Schizosaccharomyces pombe: one gene and its partner. Changing the gene in region 1 together with any one later gene gives a genetic interaction. Each region holds a gene or a part of one and is shown on either strand. Other genes may lie near its edges. The genes, in order: mug24 and alm1.

Region 1 (9,151 bases):
TCATATGCCTGCAAATCAGAAGCCGGTACGGAATCAACACTTAAATACCAAATTATAAAAAATCGTAGCTTGTCTTCGGGAGTTCCTTGTTCCTTGTTATTGATGCAAGCGAGAATGGCACTTCTGTTTAGTCCAGTTATATTATCTTCTAACTGAAAAAAGTCATCTAAATGGCGCTCTTGAATAGCTTTTAATAATGCAGTTGCTATATTCATATGCATGTCAAGGATTTGTTTACGAGCTGTAAGCTCTGGGAGCAAGCTAACTGCACTTTTTAAATAAGTCGAATCAGCAAATGCGTCAACATTAACTTCTTCAAGTGAAGAAACACCGGATTTTCGGGTAATTTCACTAGCATCATTTTTATATCGAGTCAACTCTTCATCAATGTTTTCGGCAACTTTAGGAAATGGTTTGCTAGCATTACTTTCCCAGAAAAAATCATTTCCATCTAAATCGTAAAACCGCTTTGTCATTTTTCCATCATCGACTGACTCTACGGTAATCCTATTGAGTTGCATATTTAGGGTATCATGAATCAAAGCTTGGTAAGTCCAAGAATGATTTATCATTGGAATCAAATCGACCGTTCTATCCAGTAAAATAAGAATTGGCCTTGGTTTTGGATTAACAGAAACAAAAGCATCCTTGGTATTCATTAAATGGTCCTTTAGACGTTGATTCAACTTTTGGGCAACCATCTCAGCAGCCGATCCTTGTGGGCAACGAATGATAGGAATGGTTCCGAGTGTAACGATCACTGAAAAGAGACCATTTACAATATCCTGAACGCGTGAATTAATGAGAGCCTCATCTGAAGACGGGTTATGGAACGTATGAAAGATTTTGGGCAGTTGAAGAGAAAAAAAATCACTTTCTAACACAACATAATTAAGATACTGGTCATACACTTGATGAATCATGTGACTTGTATTTGTTTTCGACGCCAATTCGGCAAACTGTTCCAGAAGAGCACGAGAAATGGTAGATGAAAAACAGACATAGGCTGATTCGTAAAGACCCTTCGAAAGATCCTTTAAAATATGTTAGCTTGCTGAACTGTAATACAAAAAAGTATTTGGTATCCGACAATAAGATTAATTGATTGAAAATTATGATACTGAGAAATCCATACCTCTATTATTAGCTCAATGTTTTCTTGAGTAGGTTGAACAAAGTAAATAGCTGGGACATCAGCAATAGGCTGACGAAACGAAGTGATATTCATGTGAACCGTAACGCCATGTTTTCTGAGATCACTAATTCTGAGAACAGAAGAAATAGTCTCCGACCCTGCCTTATCGAAGATTAAAACTTTCCAAATGGGAAAATTAGAGGCATGTTGAGGGCTTGATTCAAGTTCGTTGACGTCTTGGTTCAAATTAAGCAGTTTTTCTAAAGATTCTAAAGGTTCATATTAGCAATGCTTACTGAGAATTATACAGTTTTATTAGCAACACTACTTACGAATTTGAGCTTCTCTCAAAGAAGACGGTGTTTTTACAGATGCAATAGACATCGTGCCAATTCCAACTTTGGCACTAATATAAGCACTTAGAAGGATGATTTGTGTTGAGGGATAAACATAAGAATCATACCCTTCATATGGTGGTGTATGGCAGTGAAGCGAGTCTCGCTAAATGTTCAAAAAGGTAAACAACAAAATAAATATTGAGGTTTGGCTGTTTTACCAAATCTTGTAGTCTTCAATCTTTACTAAAGATTTCTGATTTTCATTAAATTTTTAGATATTTAAAAAAACAGTACTAGTGCACCGGAAACATTCAAAGCGTAGGAAGGAAATCAATCTTGCGTTCAGTAGTTTACTTTTCTAAGATTTAATCTCAGCTTTCTAACTGTGCTTACATTACATATATTTCTAAGAGGTGTTCTTACTTTACTATTTACTTATAAAGATACAATTATTAAAAGAGTATCCAAACGCAAAAAGCTCTTAATTATGAATTTAGCCATTAATGATTTGCATATTCTAAGTGTCTAGGATCATATACGATGGCTAAAGTTGCTCATGGGATCAAATAAGTAGAAGGCATGTCTTCGTTTATTTTTTTAGACTGAATTAAACAAAATATGAAATTATTCATTGATCATTATGATGATAATGATACCGTAGACCTAATCATCGTAATAGTAATTAATTAACAGCAATGATGGATGGAAAATATAATTAAACAATGTATTGATGGAAGGAATTGGGCAAAGTAAACCGAAAATATGACAAAGAAGGTGTCGGACTCGAATAATGATAATGATAAAACAAAAATCTCAAAAAAAACGGAATAAGGACAAGGATAGTGATGACAAAATGAAATGACAGAACGATTATGATAACAAAAAACGGTAGTAAGCAAAGTGTTGGGAGTAACGTCAATAATTGAGCTTTGAAAGAAAAGAAAATGGTGAGTACGTTAATCCTAGAATAGTAAAAGCAAGAATAAGCGATAAATATGGAAGCTCAAGAAAAAAATAAAATTAGTGTGATCAAGCTGAATGCTATCAAGAAAGCAAATGGTAAACGAACTGGTGATGGGGTCGATGGAATGATAGAATGAAGATAGTCAATTAATTGGTTGTGAACAAAGGATAATAGTGATCATGACGAGGAACAATAACAATGATTCTGGAAAGCTGAGCTGTAATCAAACGGGAGAAATAGTAAAGAATTCGTCAGTGGATAGTACAATGATAATGTGTATAAGTGAGAATAGTTGGTTTAATGATAGCAAGCTGGAAAAATGCAAAATTGGCTGGTGGGTTAGCTTAAAACCGGCATCAACGGAAACAGTAGCAAATGGGAAAATATTGTGGTAATAGTAAAAAATGGATAATGGTAAATGAACAAACTACCCATGAAGTAACGGATCGAGAAGGGTTCATGAATTCATCAGCAAGAAGTAAGTAATCTTTAATAGGTAAGAAAAGTAAAAGTTCACAGACCGGCTTCTCTTAGTGATAGAAGAATGGTTTGAAAAACTAATTGACACATTGAATGAATAAAACTCTGCTCAGAAGGTTGAAGGTAATTTTTCTTTAAAGACAAAAAATTACATAATTTAAAAGAAGACATTGGAAATCACGGAAGAGTAGTAATGTGACAAAGCAAAAAAATTTCAAATTTGGGTGGGAAACAATCAAAACGTGTAAAAACGATAAATCAAAAACTTTCAGTAATAAGGTTTAATTAGAGTCAAGAATAAAAAGAGTTTTTTTTCTGAATTTTTTCTTTTTCAATTTTTTTTGGAATTTTAGATTTTTTTAAGGCAATGTTTAGTTAGGTTTGGACAATTTTCAAGTTTTTTTCAGAGGAGTTAGTGTTAAGTTTTTGGGAGTCTCTGTTACAAACTAAATTTGCATGCTGAGTGAATACCCGTAGAATTGAGAATAAGCAAAAATAAATGGAAACATACTGACTTGCTGATGAACAAAAGTTACTTCGCGAGTATTGGAACTAGTCGTTTTCGTGGTCGGATGTTTGAGGATAGTTCGGAACATTGCAGTTGAAAGGAAAAGAGGGAACGGCTGTAAAGGGGATAAAGGGCTGATACTGGATACCAAAATTTAATATTGGATCCGAACCTGGAGGAATTGCTGGACAATAAGCTACAGGATATGAAAACGGTGGAGTAATAAATTGCTGCAATGGAACATTCTGTTGGATAGGAGAGTTGGATTTAGACTTTTGAAGCTCTTGTTCGCATCTATCAGGAGCATAGCGGATTTTGCTCTTCTTGAACAAAGGATGTATAGGCAAGCCATTGACAGCCTTCATGGCATTAGATATATTTGTATAGGCAACGAATCCAGAACTTCTATTTTTTAAATATTTAATTGATTCAATCTCTCCATACTGACGCAGTATGAGCTCTAACTCTTCGGTAGTAAGTGAATCTGATATATGGCTGAAGTAAACATTTCTGGAAGCGCCCATCAATATAGAATCTTCTAAAACTCTGGGCAAAGGTCCACTTTCTTTACCCCATCCTACTTTAATTCTTCGACCGTGTAATAAAACTTCTTCCTCAGCCAAGTAGTCGTGGAAAGCGTTGGCGGCCGAATACGTTATAAATGTAACGAAGCATATATGTTTTTCAGGAATATAGTGGAAGTCTTGTAACCCTCCATGTCGGATTAGATCGCATATTTCATGTCCTTTAGTCTTAGTATGGAGATTGCCAAGGAAGACAGTACGGTTTCCATTGTCTTTTGATTCCTGCTGCCTGCAACGGTCAGACGTGGTATCCGGATTTTGCTTGGAAGTGAAACATGACCTTTCATCAAATGAAGGTGGATGATTTGCACAGCGATCTGAGCCAAAAAATATTCGCCATGAGTGATAGTCAGGATCGCAAGATAAGGTACGAACAACCTTGATTGCGTCGCGGATGTTCAAAAAGTGAACAAAAGCAATATTCTTTTTCGAGAGGATTTTTATGTGCTCAATCTTGCCGAATTTACCAAACGCTTCTTCAATTTCCTTCTCGTGATAAGAAGAAGGAAGATTGCCGATGAACACATTACGGCTGGCCGCAGTGTTCGAGCAAAAATTTTGAATCGATTCAGGTAAAGGAGAAGGTCTAGCAAATGTCAATTTGAGTGGCCTACCATGAAAAATGAATCCACGAGGATGGTACCTTTCATAAAAGAAAAAGGCATCAGCAGAATCAAGAAATGTAATTATAATCCTGCGTTTTCCAGGGTTGGACTGAATCTTCTCTAATGGTCCAGAGTGGATAAGCGAAAGTAATTCGGAAATTTTGTAGTCAACTGGCAAGTTACCAAGGATTAAAGCACGAAAATCTAACAAGGATTCGTATTCTGAATTGAATGGTGAAAATTGCTCCGCAGGTTGTTGGGCAAACGGAGGAGGAGTACCTTCTCGAGGTAGGAAATTTGGACGGTTTACAGGTTTTGCATGATACATATTGTCGGTATAGTGGGCATAGGGCATCGGTATGAAGGTGTTTGCTGAAACATACATGTTGGGGTAATAGGTTGAAGGTGGAGAAGGATAAATGACTGAAGAAGAGTCCTGGTCAAAATGAGGATAACAAGGAGAATCGAGTTGTTCGGGAGGGGGATTCATTGATTTAGGAGCATACCCATTATGAGATTTCGGAATAAATTCTGCGGCATTGATGTTTACATGGAAAGAAGGATTAGGTGAAAGATTTTTGTGCTTTTTACCACCACAGTCAAGGTTGGTACATTCATTATTGTCCACTGAATTAAGACTACTGTTATCATCTTCTGAATCATTTAAAGTGCAAATGCTGTTGGCCGTGCCAGTACTTCCTGTCTCTTGAAAGCAGCAATCACTATCAACGAAGTGACCGTTGTTTGCTTGGTCTTTTTCAAGAACACGGTCGGTCTCAACTTCACTTCCGGCACAGCCAATTTTGTGCATAATAGCCATTATAGTGTTAAAAAAAAAGAATTGAGTGAGAATATGGATGCTTCAAAATATAGAGTGCTTTAGACTGATGAGTTTCGCTTCAAAATTAGTATCGATTTAAATGCTGTATTCGATGGTCAAAACTGGTGAGAGGGACACTTATTTATAGATAAAAAAAATCATATCGTGTCAAGTTTTCGTAACAGCTAAGCACCATTTCAAATGTAAACATTGCTATTTTCGCAAGCATTCCCCGCAAAGCTGTCCCACATTTCTTAAATAGAAGGACGAATCAAAAGGCACAAAGTTGCAACTCTAAAACGTCAGGATGGCCCACAAACGACGAATGCGACGGTAAATCCGCTGCCACTCTTCGCTAAAGTCGACGTAATGTACTTATTTTAGCGAGGCTTAATAGTTAAAATTACTTACGTCCAATCATAGTTGTCCCTTTAAGTTATTCGGTTCTTATTATGACTGCACAGTGACTACCACCAATTCCTCGCGAATAGTACAGTCATGATAAAGGGCTGGTAGACAGCCATTTCTAAGCCTTGAAATTACCTTTAATAAAAACCTCGAGAGCCAATAGACTTTTTGGGTGCAAGATTTACGATTAGCCAGCCTTCCCCCGCCTTTTAAACTGCCAGAGCAAAATTAAGAGTAGATAGGTATCCCCCATATCCCTTATACCGAGCAATGCAAATACTGATCCAAGGCAACAATACCATCAACCTTACGAAGAGTACTCAAAAATATTGTTAAAGAATTACGTATACTGTGTTAGATGCTTCAAATTGCCCGTCCACTTCTAGCATGATTGTTGCTGTTTTGAAGTTATCGACATTGTGGTTCATAAGGTTTTAGCTTCATAAAGCCTATTATATAATGTGATGCGTTTCGTTAGATAGTAAAAAAGTTCGGCTAGGGCTATACTTAATGCTTATTCATAAATTGGTGTAGACTGTATTCTGTCACAATGATGTACGTTGAGGCTTGATCTGATAAAAAAATTTGGAAAGAAAATAACGATGTCAGTAAGTTAAAAGTAGTTAAATTTGAAGTTCTTCTGAATATTTCAACCATTAATTAAAAATATTAATTTTAAAAAATAGAAGTCTTTAATGAGTTTATCATTTCTAGGCCGTTAGCGAAAGTCAGAGTTTGAAGGTGTGTTATGCAATTAAATATTGTAACTTTTGCTTGAAAGCCTCTTCAAATAAAAAGGATTTGTTACGTGTTTCTTTAAAACTTTTCGAAGGTTCCAGATACTAGGTTATTGCATTCAAGCTCATCAATTTTAGATTTGTATACCCAACATTGCCAGTCAACATCAAGTTCAGCCGCCTTTTATCTATATTTTAAGAAGACCCTTTACAAGTTGTTACTATGCCGTTGAAATTTGTAAAGCTTTCAATACAAGTAAGTACATTATTTGTTCCTCTATCGTGGCCGATGAAGGATGTATGCCTTAAGCTACGATCTTGTAAGGAGGTTAAGACTCTTAACAAAAAAAAAAGTTGAAACAAAATATACAAAATTCATACTGATTTTCTGCTTTCGAAAGGCTCCGTAAGTGGGGTAGTTTGGTACCGTATAGGAGGTATTCTTACCTCACCATTGTCACTCTTAACCTCTACACCACTTAACCTCAGTCAAACCAAATTAGCAATTGAAGCAGTAACAATTTAAAATTATCAAGTTACTTTTACCTAAAGTTTTATTAATCAAACTGGCATTTCTTTTTTGATTTTTTTGTAATGGTTCTACGTTACAACAGCCCACGCCTCAATATTCTTGAGCTGGTCCTTCTATATGTCGGATTTTTTAGTATTGGGTCCTTGAACTTACTGCAGAAAAGGAAAGCTACTTCTGATCCTTATCGTAGGAAAAATCGCTTCGGCAAAGAACCTATAGGAATAATTTCCTGGTGGATATTGGGAATTGCATTAACCTACGTACGTATTTCAAGCATTTTTCTTAAAAAATATATATATATATATATATAAGTATATTTTGAAAGAAAAATGTTTATGTTTAATTGTTTAACCTCGCTTCATATTGCTAATTTCATTTTTAGGTCGTTGATATCAGCAATCTTGTCATCTACGCATTGCGAGTTCCAAATTGGTGGCCCTGTAAAACCACTGTTGTCTGTTTAATTCTCTTCCTTTTATTTTGGATAATTGTACTTATCTCATGCGCAGATTCTAAAGCTCTTCCAAAAAATGCGGATTCCATACTAAAGGCCTACCGCCTTAGCGTCTTGTACGTTTGGGCTATAGACATTGTATTTGAAACAATTTTCATTGTCTACAGTCCTCATCCAAATGAAACATTTCAAGGAATTGTATTGGCGGACCATGTAGCCCGATTGGTCTTATGTGTTTTCGCTACAGCTATATATCTAACTTATAGACGAAAGAGACATACGCACGATCCCCTGGATTTTGAGGAGCGTCAATTAACAGAAGAGTCAAACGTTAATGAGAATGCTATCTCTCAAAATCCCTCGACCGTTCAGCTCGGTGTATCGGCATCAACCTCGAATTTTGGTACACTCAAATCAACATCGAAAAAACCTAGTGATAAATCTTGGGCAGAATATTTCCGTTCTTTCTCTACTTTACTTCCCTATCTCTGGCCGACAAAAGATTACCGACTTCAGTTTCAGATTTTCATTTGCATAGTTTTACTCTTTTTGGGGCGAGCTGTTAACATACTTGCTCCCCGACAACTGGGTGTGTTAACTGAAAAGCTCACAAAACATAGTGAGAAAATTCCTTGGTCTGATGTTATTCTATTCGTTATCTATCGTTTTTTGCAAGGAAATATGGGAGTAATTGGTTCTCTTCGATCTTTCTTATGGGTTCCTGTCTCTCAATATGCTTATAGAGCGATATCAACTAAGGCTTTGAGACATGTTCTAAACCTGTCATACGATTTTCATTTGAATAAACGTGCTGGTGAGGTTTTGACCGCCTTAACTAAAGGAAGTTCGTTGAATACGTTTGCAGAACAAGTTGTGTTTCAGATTGGGCCTGTTTTGTTGGATTTGGGAGTAGCCATGGTATACTTTTTTATTAAGTTTGACATTTATTTTACGCTTATTGTGTTAATTATGACACTTTGTTACTGTTACGTTACGGTCAAAATTACATCTTGGCGTACCGAGGCTAGAAGAAAGATGGTTAATAGCTGGCGCGAGAGTTATGCTGTGCAAAATGACGCGATTATGAATTTCGAAACCGTTAAAAATTTTGATGCAGATGACTTTGAAAATGAACGATACGGTCATGCTGTGGATATTTATCTTAAGCAAGAGCGGAAGGTACTATTTAGCCTTAATTTTTTAAATATCGTTCAAGGTGGAATATTTACATTCAGCTTGGCAATTGCTTGTCTATTAAGTGCTTATAGAGTAACATTCGGCTTTAACACTGTCGGTGATTTTGTCATACTTTTGACATACATGATTCAGCTACAGCAGCCTCTTAATTTTTTCGGAACTTTATATCGTTCATTGCAAAATAGCATCATCGATACAGAAAGACTACTTGAAATTTTTGAGGAGAAACCTACTGTGGTGGAGAAACCAAATGCCCCAGATCTTAAAGTCACTCAAGGTAAGGTAATATTCTCTCATGTTTCATTTGCATATGATCCACGAAAACCTGTTTTATCAGATATCAATTTTGTTGCACAACCAGGAAAAGTTATTGCGTTAGTGGGAGAATC
Region 2 (10,686 bases), on another chromosome or scaffold:
TTCCAAATAGGGTAACCACGGGAAAATACAATGATGCAGTGAATCATTTTTCTTCAATTTTAATTTAGGGTTCCATTTGCTTACAGCATCTTTGAGCCTAGGGAGTATATCATCTTGTATCAAAGAATCTTTAACTTTCTCTGGAACCACAGGGTCCCATGCTTCTAAAAGTTGCAAAGCCTTAAGAGAATCCTGAATAATCCATTTCTTCAGTTCCTCACCAATTTTTTTTTTCCAAACAAACATCATAAATGACTCATAGTGTGTTAAGCTTTGACCTTCTAATTCATCATCGAATTCCACATCAATATCCATAAATGTACTACTCTCTTCTCTCTTGGGCCTAAAGTCTTTGGAATATAAAGAATTTTTCCACGAAAGAAAACTTTCTAACATAAAATATGGATGTTTCCAGACATCCCAGTTTTTTATCGGTTCTGAAAGTACAAAAGCAAGGATTGACACTGCGACCGAGTCAAGCTCAAAATGCATACTTGCCTCTGAAAATTCAACCGGTAACGTTTCAATTAAGTTATTTAACGGCTGAAGTCTTTTTTCGATAACATCAATTTCGGCCTCAGGTACTGTAAACTCCATTGACCTGGATTTTACCTCCATAACTTTACCCAAAAGCTTTTCCAAACGAGATATTTCAACCGATTTCTCGTCGAATTCCGTTGTGACCCTCTTTAATTCCATTTTAACATAGGCGCGACGGGCTTGTAATTGTTGCCATGCAGAAGCATGGTGTTCACATTCAACCCGAGCAAGCCTGGAGAGCTGGTTAATTCCAGAAGTGGACATATCACGACCTTCTAAACCCAATTCTTCTTTATTTGAAGTCACAAATTCGATTTCCTTAGTATCATTTAAGGAAGCATCAATGAGACTGGCTAAGAACCTAGGCAAGTTATAACTTCCCATATCCTTTGAAATTTCTTCAGAGGATTTTAAAGGTTTCTTCTTTTTTTCTCTTAAAGGTTTTTGTTTGACGGTATGTTTCTCATCTTCACTATCAGAGATCTCACCACGAGCAATTGCCTCTTTCCTTTGCTTTTCGGTCCGTTCTCGAACGGCTCCCAATCCGACACGTTCGGGGCGTAGCTTAGATTGTACAGGTTCAGCTATACCCTCAGCATTGGCACCCAAACCTTGTCCTTGTTTATACCCCATTTTTTCCAACATTTTTGCGCCAAATCCAGTAGTATTAAACTTCATCTTTGGAATATTTTTCGCCTGAGAAACCTCATCATTTTTATTCTTTAACTGTGGAATTGAATGCGCCTCCAATAAATCATCTGCTGTCACTTGCTTATTTGCTTTAACTTGTTCAGATTTCTCAACAAAAGAAATGTTTTTTCTACGAAGTCTAGCACTTCCAATCCCCGAGTTATGAAAACCATCTTCATCTTCTTCACCAAATATTCCTAGCATGTCCCTTTCTTTTTGCTGCCCACGAAAAGATGGACGAAGACGTCCTTCTTCCAAAATTGAATCACCATCTGAATCCTCGGAAGATGAATTCATATCGACATACTCATTTTGCATATCAACCCAAGAATTCAATATAAATAAAAACCAATGAAAACCGAAATTTTCTATTTTGGGTCAGTTCTCCAGTGGGTTAAATATGGATGTCATATAATGAGTTTTTGCGCGTTACGTTCTTAAGCTTAAGAACACGCGAAAACGTCATTATTTATTTTATCTTGTCAGCAATACTACACTACGCTATGATACACTACGTTGCGTATCACTATATGTCATATGTTGGAATACTAGCTAAGATCCGTTTATTGATAATCACGGGTAACTATCCGTCTATATACATAGTTACCCGTTGATAACAACTATTTAGAAATATTATAAATACCGTTACAACTGAACCTCGTTCCTCAGTTCAGTTATGAGCTATATTAGTGATAGGTAACATTATAACCCAGTTAATACAATACCTATACTCAGTTGCTACTTATACAACCTGTGTATTGTAATATAATAGACCACAAGGAAAACTCACCGCAGTTCTACGTATCCTTAAATCAGATACCAAACTGCGTAGCTTACATATCTGAATAAGGACATTAGTTGCGCAAAATATCTATAGCTCTTCAAAAAATATCAAAATATTAAATTACAATACAAAGCTTTTTATTATAATAAAATTAAAGTCGTTTTTTTTATTGGAAACCAGAAATAATAATTATGCAGCTAACCTATTTTATTATCTGTTTACAAACTCTTAAGAAACATTAAAAAGGGCATTATACCAAAAAATTCATATTTTACTATTTGGCTTTCTTAACATCATTGGAAACATCCATACCAGCGTCTGAACTGGACCGTTTAGGAGGAGAATTAGTGTCAACAGAGTGAGTTTTGGCGATTAACTTTTTCTCTTTAACTTGAGCTGCTGGGACTTCAGAATTGCTTTTATTGGAATCAGTGTTTTTAGAAGCTTCCAAACTTAAAATTGCAGGGCTATCTTTTTTCTTCGATTGCTCCAACTCTGCTCGCACTCTAGCTAAGTTCTTTTCCAGCATGCTCAACTTCAACTTGTTACGCATCTCGAGTTCTTTTCGGATGTTATCTAGTTGTTTTTGATGCGACTGAGCAACTTGTTCCTCAACATCCTTCTGTAAAATTTCTCTGCGCTTTTCCCATTCCTTTTGCACAAAAGTAGTAAAGTCGGCAGTGGAAGTCGAAAAGTCAGATATGGACTCGTTGAAGATTACTTGAAATGTAACTGATAACATCTCTTCTGTCTTTTTTAAGTTTTCCAAATCTTTAGTATCAGCATGTACCGAAGCGGACTCTGCTTCCTCGGATGACACAACTGTCTCTTGCAAAGCTTTCACTTGATCTTGTAAAACCTGATTTTGTTTCCTGAGTAATTCGTTTTTCTGTAGCTCTTTTGCAATTCTCGAACGTAACCTCAAAACTTCCTGTTGCATGACTTTCTTCCTTTCCATTTCTTCTTCGTTGGGTATTTCAGTATCCTTACTGGTTCCCTCAGATTTATTACTATTTTGTCTGACCTTCTCAAGCTCCTCCTTCGTAGTATTTAAGATATCCATAATTTCACTTAGCTTTCGCTGTGTAGAAGATAGTTCTTCCTTAGTGCTATTGAATTCTTCCAGTGACACCGTACTTGGTTCAGACTGTGTAGTAGCAGTGGGGGTTGCAGAAGGTTTGTTGAGTTGTTCATTGAGCTGATGACATTCCGCAACCTTGGCTTCTAATTCAGAAGTCTTTTGCGAAAGTTGTTGACGTATTTGATTGTGCTTTTCTAAGCTCTTGTTAACTACCTGCTCATATTTAGTTCGCCAAGCAGCTGCTAGTTTTGTATTCTTCAACTCTAATTGTTCAATCTTGGATTGGTTTTGCGCTCTCTCATTTTCCAAATCTTCGCTTTTTGATTTAACAGTTTCCAATTCAGATTTCAAATGACCAATTTCTTGATTTAACTCCTCTATTAAGTTTTCTTTGGAAACAAGTTCATTCTTTAAGCGTGAAGCATCACTAGACGTAGATGTGCTACTGTTCAAAGATAGTAATATTTCTTGGTTATGACGCTTGTATTCTTCGTTGCTGTTTTCAAGCTTTTTTACAGCTGCTTTCTCTGTTTGAAGCTGTGATTCTAGTTGTTCTTTATTAAGTCTAAAATTCGCCAAATCAGTTTTAAGAGTTTCTATTTTCTCTCTTAACTCTGTGATAACTTCCTCGTTCCTTTCTAAATTTTCTCGGAGAGATTTGTTGCTCTCATTTAATAAAGCAACCATGTTTAGATAATTTGAACGTTCCCCAACGGATTCAGAAGTACTGCTAACATCCTTTTCCGTTATACCTCTTTGCAGATCGGCGATAACTCGATTCGATGATTCAACGGTTCGCTTGAGTTTCTTATTTTCAAGGAATAATAATTGTCGTTGGCATGAAATAATCTCCATTTCTTTGGATATACGCTTCACATGATTCTGTAAATCTGATAATCCTAATTTCATAACAGAATCTAAATCCGGGGATGGGCTAGTTATTTCTGCAAAGTTGAGATTGGAAGATTGAAGTTGGGTTAAAAGCATTGCGTTTTGCTTTTTGAGGACATAAACTTCCTGTCTCAAAGGATCTTCTTTTTCACTAATGGGAAAGGGCTGAGATTCGTTTATACCGGCCTTTAAGGCTATTTCTTTATTCAAATCTTCAACCTGTTCTAATGCCTTCGTGTAATCCTCGCGCAGTTTTTGAAGAGTCGATCTAGCATCGGCATGTCTTAAAAGTTCCTTTTCATAATCTTCACGAGTTTTTCTTAAATCTTCAGTTACCAACAACAACTGTTGTTTATAATCATTCTCCTTCTCTAAATGTTGCTTTTCAGCATTTCGGTGTGACGAAAGCTCATTGTTAAGATGCTTATTTTCCTCTAAAAGCAAGGCAACTCTTGTTTCGCTATCTTTAGTAATATTCTCACAGCGTAAAGAAGAAGAAGCTATCTCATCTTGTAGAATAACTATCCTTTGTTCAAGAGAAGTGATTTTTAAATGATTTTTTTCCAAGGACTCTGAAGTTTGCAATCGATACTCATCATACTCAGTTTTAACTCTTTCAACCATTTCTTCGGCGAGTTTGCTTGCGGCCTGTAACTGTTCAATATTCCTTAAAGAATAATTGTATTGGGATTCTAAGGAAGTATGTTTAGATTGCAAGTCACTAAGCGATGATTCTAGCAAAGCTTCCCTTTCGCTATAGGACGTATTTTTTTGCTGTGTAAACTTGGCTTCCAAAGTAGAAAATCTTTGTTTTTCAAGTTCAATGACGCCGTTTAATTCTTGGAGTTTTATTTCCATCATTTGTTGATTATCTAACAATTTCCTGTTGTCTTCACTTAACGATTGTTTTTCGAGCATTAATGTCTTAATCCTGCTGGAGTACTCAATTCCGCTCTTTTCCAAAGATTTCTGTAGAGAATGAAGATCATTACTCATCTTTTCATTTGACTCCTTCAACTTCTGCAAGGAAAGGCTTAAGCTTTCCTTCTCAGATTCAAATTTTACTTTTCTAGCAGCATCAGATAGCTGTTGCTGGTTAAGAAAAGTTTGAAGATCTGATACAAGACTCATTAGTCTCTCGCGCTCAGCCAAAAGTTTATCGTTTTCAGATATTAAACGCTCTTGCGTCCTTTTCCGTAAATCTTTTTCACCCTTCGAAGCATTTAGTTCACCTTTTAATCTTTCAGCAAGTGAGTTAACATGTAATAATTCTTCGGCAAATTTACTGGCTCTCTGATCCTGTCGACTAATTATATCCTGTAAATTTTGATTAATACTACGAAGCTCCTTGGCTTCCTTTTTAAAGGCTTCAACGTCATTATTAGCATTAGTTAATCTATCAGTAGATAACTGCTGCTGATATTTGGAATTTTCTAACTCTTTACGTATTGCTTCCATCTCACTCAACAAATCCTGATTTCGCTTAGACAAGGATTCCTGAATAGCTGTCATTTCGTTACGATAAACTTCGTAATTTTTCTCAAGTTCTCTTGTAGATTCATCAATGGATTTCATTTTGTCATCAATATTGCCCGCGGAAGAATTGTGAGACAAAATACTGCTTCGAGAAGTAGCTAACATTTCTTTCAGTAAATTTCGTTCATTAAGTAAGGACTCATTTTTTATTTTTGACGAATTTAACTCACTTTCCAAATTTTTGATTTGCTCTGAAAGTGTATTTGAATTTTCTTTAACTGCATTGGAAATTTGATATTGGACAGTTTGCTTTTGGATTTCAACATCGCATTCAAGGGCCCGCACTTTTTCCCGCAGTTCTAGAGTTTTCGAAACAGCTTCCTTTATAGATGAAAAATTAGCAAGCTCCTTGTTTACTAGTGTCTCAGATGCAGTAGAGGGATTTTGAGCGTATTCATCAAGCGCAACTTGCACAGTAGCGGGAACGTTTCTTGATTTAGTTTCATTCAAATGATCAAGTTCGGCCATGAGACAAATAACTTCTCGAGAAAGATCACTGCATTGAGTACGAGATGCGGTGAGCTGCAAGTAACAAGCTTCTTGGCGCATTTTGGTCGATAAAAGCTCTGCTTGTACTTTGGTTAGGTTGTTGTTAGATGTTTCCAAAGATTCGCTAAGAAAATTCATATAAATGTTATTCCTAACGATTTCACTCCTCTGTTGTTTGACAACTGGAATCCTTTGTTTAACTTGTTCACAAAATGAGGAGAATTTGTTAGTCAAGCGGTCTAGCTGAAGCTTTAAGCTAGAAACCTTCTGTTGGAGTTTCATATTGTCCGAATATACTTTCGTAAATGAAAATTCGGGATTTTGAACGGCGCTTAACTTTTGCGCCAAAGGAGAAAACAAACCTACACCAGCTGAAACAGAGGTATTTTTATTTTCTTTAACCACTTGTAGTTCACTAACTACACTATCATATTTCTCTTGCAGTTCCCGCAAACTATTCTCCGAAATCAATAGCTGTTGCTTGTTATTATTTAACTCTTCGGTCACATTATTGTATAGACTTTGTTGCGAAGTGAGCTTTTCTTGAAGTGCAGCAACCTCTGATTGCAACTCTGAAGATTTAGACTCCCAAAGAGCTGTAAGTCGTTTCTGAGTTTCCACTTCTTCTTCAAGTTCTTTGATTGAAGTGGGGTCGGTTTCAAGGATTTTTGATATGTTCCCATCGGAGGAATAATTGCTCCGCTTTTGCTCAAAAAGCTGTATTTTTTCGTTAAGCTCTGTATTCTGTTGGGCAAGCCCAGCAAGCTTTTTCTCCAAATCTTGAACTTGACGAGATGAAACTTCTAATTTTTCGCAAACTTTCGAATGATCTGATTGCAAACTAGCCAAATCAGAGACTAAAGCGCTTTTCTCCTGAACGAGTATCTCTTCCTTGACACGACTGCTACTGCTAGCAAACATGTGCTGTTTCTTTCTTTCTTCAATATCAGACAATGCTTGATGCGCACTCTGGACTTGCTCTCCTAAATGTGAATTTTCATTTTGTAGGGCTTCGATTTGATCTTTCGCGATTGAAAGCTGCTCAGAAGCAATCTTAGATTGCTCTTGTAATTCAGAGTTAGCCCTTCTAAGCGACTGGTTCTCAGTAGTCAATGCATCAAAGCGCTTATTTTGATTCTCCAAGTTGGTTTTCAGCGATTCGTTCTCATTTCTCAATACCGATATAAGATTACGTGATTCCTCTGCTTGATTATTAGAAGATTGAAGTTGTTGCTCAAGAAAGTTAATCTTCTTCGTAAGAACATTCTCCTTATGCTCATGGTTGACTTCTTGAAGGACAAGCTGATCCTTTAAAGCGTTTATGTCTTTAACCTTGGTTTTAATAGCAGATATAAATACAGCGAAACCATTGACAGACACCAGGGGTTTTATATCCTCAAAAGATACATCCAAAAACTCGTGTACCAGCTGAATATCATCTTCAAGTCCCCCCGAAGACATTTTCTAGCCTGGAATCAACGTTCGATGACTTATGAAGCACCAGTGTACGTATACGAGAAGTAAGTGATCAACCTCGATGTACAGAAATAATACCACGTTAGAAGAAATGCGACAATTACGTTGAGAAAAACAAATGAAGCAAATTTAAAAATTGTAATTACCGTGAGTATTAAAAAAAAAGCTAAATTTCTGTATTCTTCTCTATCACGCCTTGAACGTATCTTGAGTAGCAGTGCACTATTCGGACCTGTCGTCCACACAACACCAATTTTGGTGACTTTACTAATTATTTAATCAAATATCATCCTAGTGATGTTTGGACAAAACAATTCTTCCGGATTTGGAGGAGGAACCGGTGCTTTCGGTCAAAATAATCAACAAACTGGTGGGTTATTTGGTTCCAACTCCAATACTCCAGGGAACACTTTGTTTGGTTCCCAAAACACTTCTACAACTGGCTTTGGGCAGAACACTACTCAACCCTTGTTTGGATCAAATACGAACGGTGGACTATTTGGAAATAGAAACAACACTACCACGACTGGTGGCACAGGTTTTGGAATGTCCTCTGGGACAGGTATGTTTGGCCAATCCAATACTCCTGCTTTTGGAGGCACGAACAACGCCACAAATCCTAGTGGTGGTGGCCTCTTTGGATCAAATACCGCCAACAACAATGCAAATACTGGAACGTCATTTTCTTTTGGATCGAACGCTGGTTCAACAGGGTTCGGTAACACTGCATCGAATACTGGTACCGGTGGTGGCTTGTTTGGTTCTCAAAATAACGCTGGCAATACTGCTGGAAATACAGGTTTGGTTCGCAAGGTACTGGTGGTGGCTTGTTTGGTTCGTCCACTACACCCGCTACGACCAACGCTTTCGGAACCTCTGGATTTGTCTCAAGCAATGCAAACGCTGTGAATGGTACAGCTAACCCACCTTATGCGGTAACTTCTGAAAAAGACCCTCAAACAAACGGTACTAGTGTCTTCCAGTCTATAACTTGTATGCCCGCTTATAGATCTTATTCATTTGAAGAGTTGCGTTTACAAGACTATAATCAAGGACGACGTTTTGGCAATGCTTCTAGTACGAACACTACTTCTGCATTTGGTTCAACACCCGCATTTGGAGCTTCAACTACTCCGTTTGGTCAGAATTTGTCAGGTACCACAAATAATGCAACACCGTTTGGTACATCGAATGCTACTAATACCACTCCTGGTTCCGGTCTCTTTGGCGGTGGATCTGCATTTGGTAGTAACACTACCAATACAGGGTTTGGTTCTGGAACAAATAATGCATCCGGTGGGTTATTTGGTCAAAACAATAATACCACCTCAACTCCTTCAACCGGTCTTTTTGGTGGCTCTACATTTAATCAACAAAAACCAGCTTTTTCAGGTTTTGGCTCAACCACTAACACTACCAATACTGGTACAGGAACGGGTCTTTTTGGTTCAAATAACGCAACCAATACAGGAACAGGTCAAACTACGGGTGGCTTATTTGGTGGTGCTGCCACTGGTACGGGTACGGGATTTGGTTCTTCTACTGGGGGGTTTGGAAGCAACACGAATAACCAACCCAATTCAGGTACCATGGGTACAGGTTTGTTTGGTTTTGGCGCTAATAATAATACGGCAAATAATAACACCGCTCCAACATCTACTTTTGGTGGTAACAATAGTAGTAATTTTTCCTTTGGTGCCAATAATAATGCAGCCACTAAGCCTTCTGGATTCGGTTTTGGTTCCACGACCACTACTCCTGCCAGCGGAGGTTTTTCTTTTGGGCAAAATGCTAATAATGCTCCCAAGCCAGCTTTTGGATCCACTGCTACCACTGCTCCTAAACCAGCAGGGACAGGTTTGTTTGGTGGTTTAGGAGCCGGTGCTAATACCAACACAGCTACTAATGCTACCGGCACTGGCGGAAGTTTATTCGGAAATGCGAACACTGCGGGTTCTAACATGTTTGGATCAGCCAACTCCAGTACTCCTGGTACCGGTTTATTTGGCTCTACGCAAACGAATAATGCTACTTCCAATACCGGAACCGGGCTCTTTGGATCCAATAATGCAAACACAACCAATACCGGTGGTAGTTTGTTTAATAAGCCTTCTACTACAACTGGTGGTTTGTTTGGTAACACAACTGCTCAACAACCATCTACAACTACATCTGGATTATTTGGGGCTTCTAATACTAACAACCAAGCACAAACTTCAAATTTTGGTACTGGGTTATTTGGTGGATCTCAAGCTGGACAACAGCAACAACCATTACAGGCCAGTATAGACCAAAACCCTTACGGCAATAATCCCTTATTTTCAAGCACAACTTCACAAGTTGCACCAACTAGTATTCAGGAACCGATAGCTTCACCGTTGACTTCTAAACCGACTCCCAAAAAGGCAGCTTCTCTACCACAATTTTGGTTGTCACCTCGTTCGCATAATACTGCACGTTTGGCTTCTATTTCCTCTTTTGCCAAATCGGCTGTAATGAATTCAACAAGTGCTTCTGGTAAACCGAAATCACTACACCTGTTTGATTCGCTTAACGATGATGTGTTGCTGAGCGCCGATGCTTTTACTCCGAGACAAAACATAAAAAAGCTGGTTATTACCCACAAAATCTCCAAAGATGATATCCTGCAAAATGGTGTGAAAAATGGCAACGATGCCAAATCAGACTCAAAAGTACAAGAAAAAGCACCTCAAAATGAAGCAGATGGCTCTTTAAAGAAAGACGAACATGTAGTTCTATCTGACGATTACTGGATGAAACCCTCAATTGAGGAGCTTTCTAAGTATCCTAAAGAAAAATTATGTTCTGTCCATCAATTCTCTGTCGGTCGCACTGGCTATGGCCAAGTTGCATTTTTAAAACCCGTCGATTTGAGTGGATTCGAAAAGCTTGAAGACATACCTGGCAAGGTCGTTGTTTTTGAGAGAAAGATTTGCGCCGTATATCCTGTTGAGGGATCAAGTCCTCCTTTGGGTGAAGGCCTTAATGTTCCTGCCATAATTACACTTGAAAAAACCTGGCCATTATCTCGAGAGACTCGAGAGCCTATTAAGGATCCTCAGAACCCTAGATACATTCAACATGTAAAGAGACTTCATCGTATTAAAGATACCGAATTTATTGACTTTAATGACGGAAAATGGATCTTCAAGGTTCAGCATTTCTCTAGATACGGTTT

The links.
Region 2: mutations in mug24 (region 1) and alm1 are lethal when combined (synthetic lethality), as found in Schizosaccharomyces pombe (one study listed by BioGRID).

The regions. Positions count from the first base shown.
Region 1 is NC_003421.2:1,915,565-1,924,715, reverse strand, and holds mug24 (rrm type RNA-binding protein), read right to left. Parts: upstream 5,435-9,151; coding exon 3,470-5,434; 3' UTR 1,983-3,469; downstream 1-1,982. Other genes in the region: SNARE-binding protein Sly1, read right to left, coding at 1-1,034, 1,136-1,404, 1,468-1,519; vacuolar phytochelatin and glutathione S-conjugate ABC family transmembrane transporter Hmt1, read left to right, coding at 7,174-7,371, 7,494-9,151. UniProt on the Schizosaccharomyces pombe protein: Has a role in meiosis.
Region 2 is NC_003424.3:3,189,244-3,199,929, forward strand, and holds alm1 (nucleoporin Alm1), read right to left. Parts: upstream 7,525-10,686; 5' UTR 7,473-7,524; coding exon 2,289-7,472; 3' UTR 2,204-2,288; downstream 1-2,203. Other genes in the region: ntr1 (RNA-binding splicing factor), read right to left, coding at 1-1,548. UniProt on the Schizosaccharomyces pombe protein: Maintains the proteasome and its anchor cut8 at the nucleus envelope and is required for kinetochore component proteostasis. Proper kinetochore stoichiometry ensures the correct attachment of kinetochores to spindle microtubules during cytokinesis.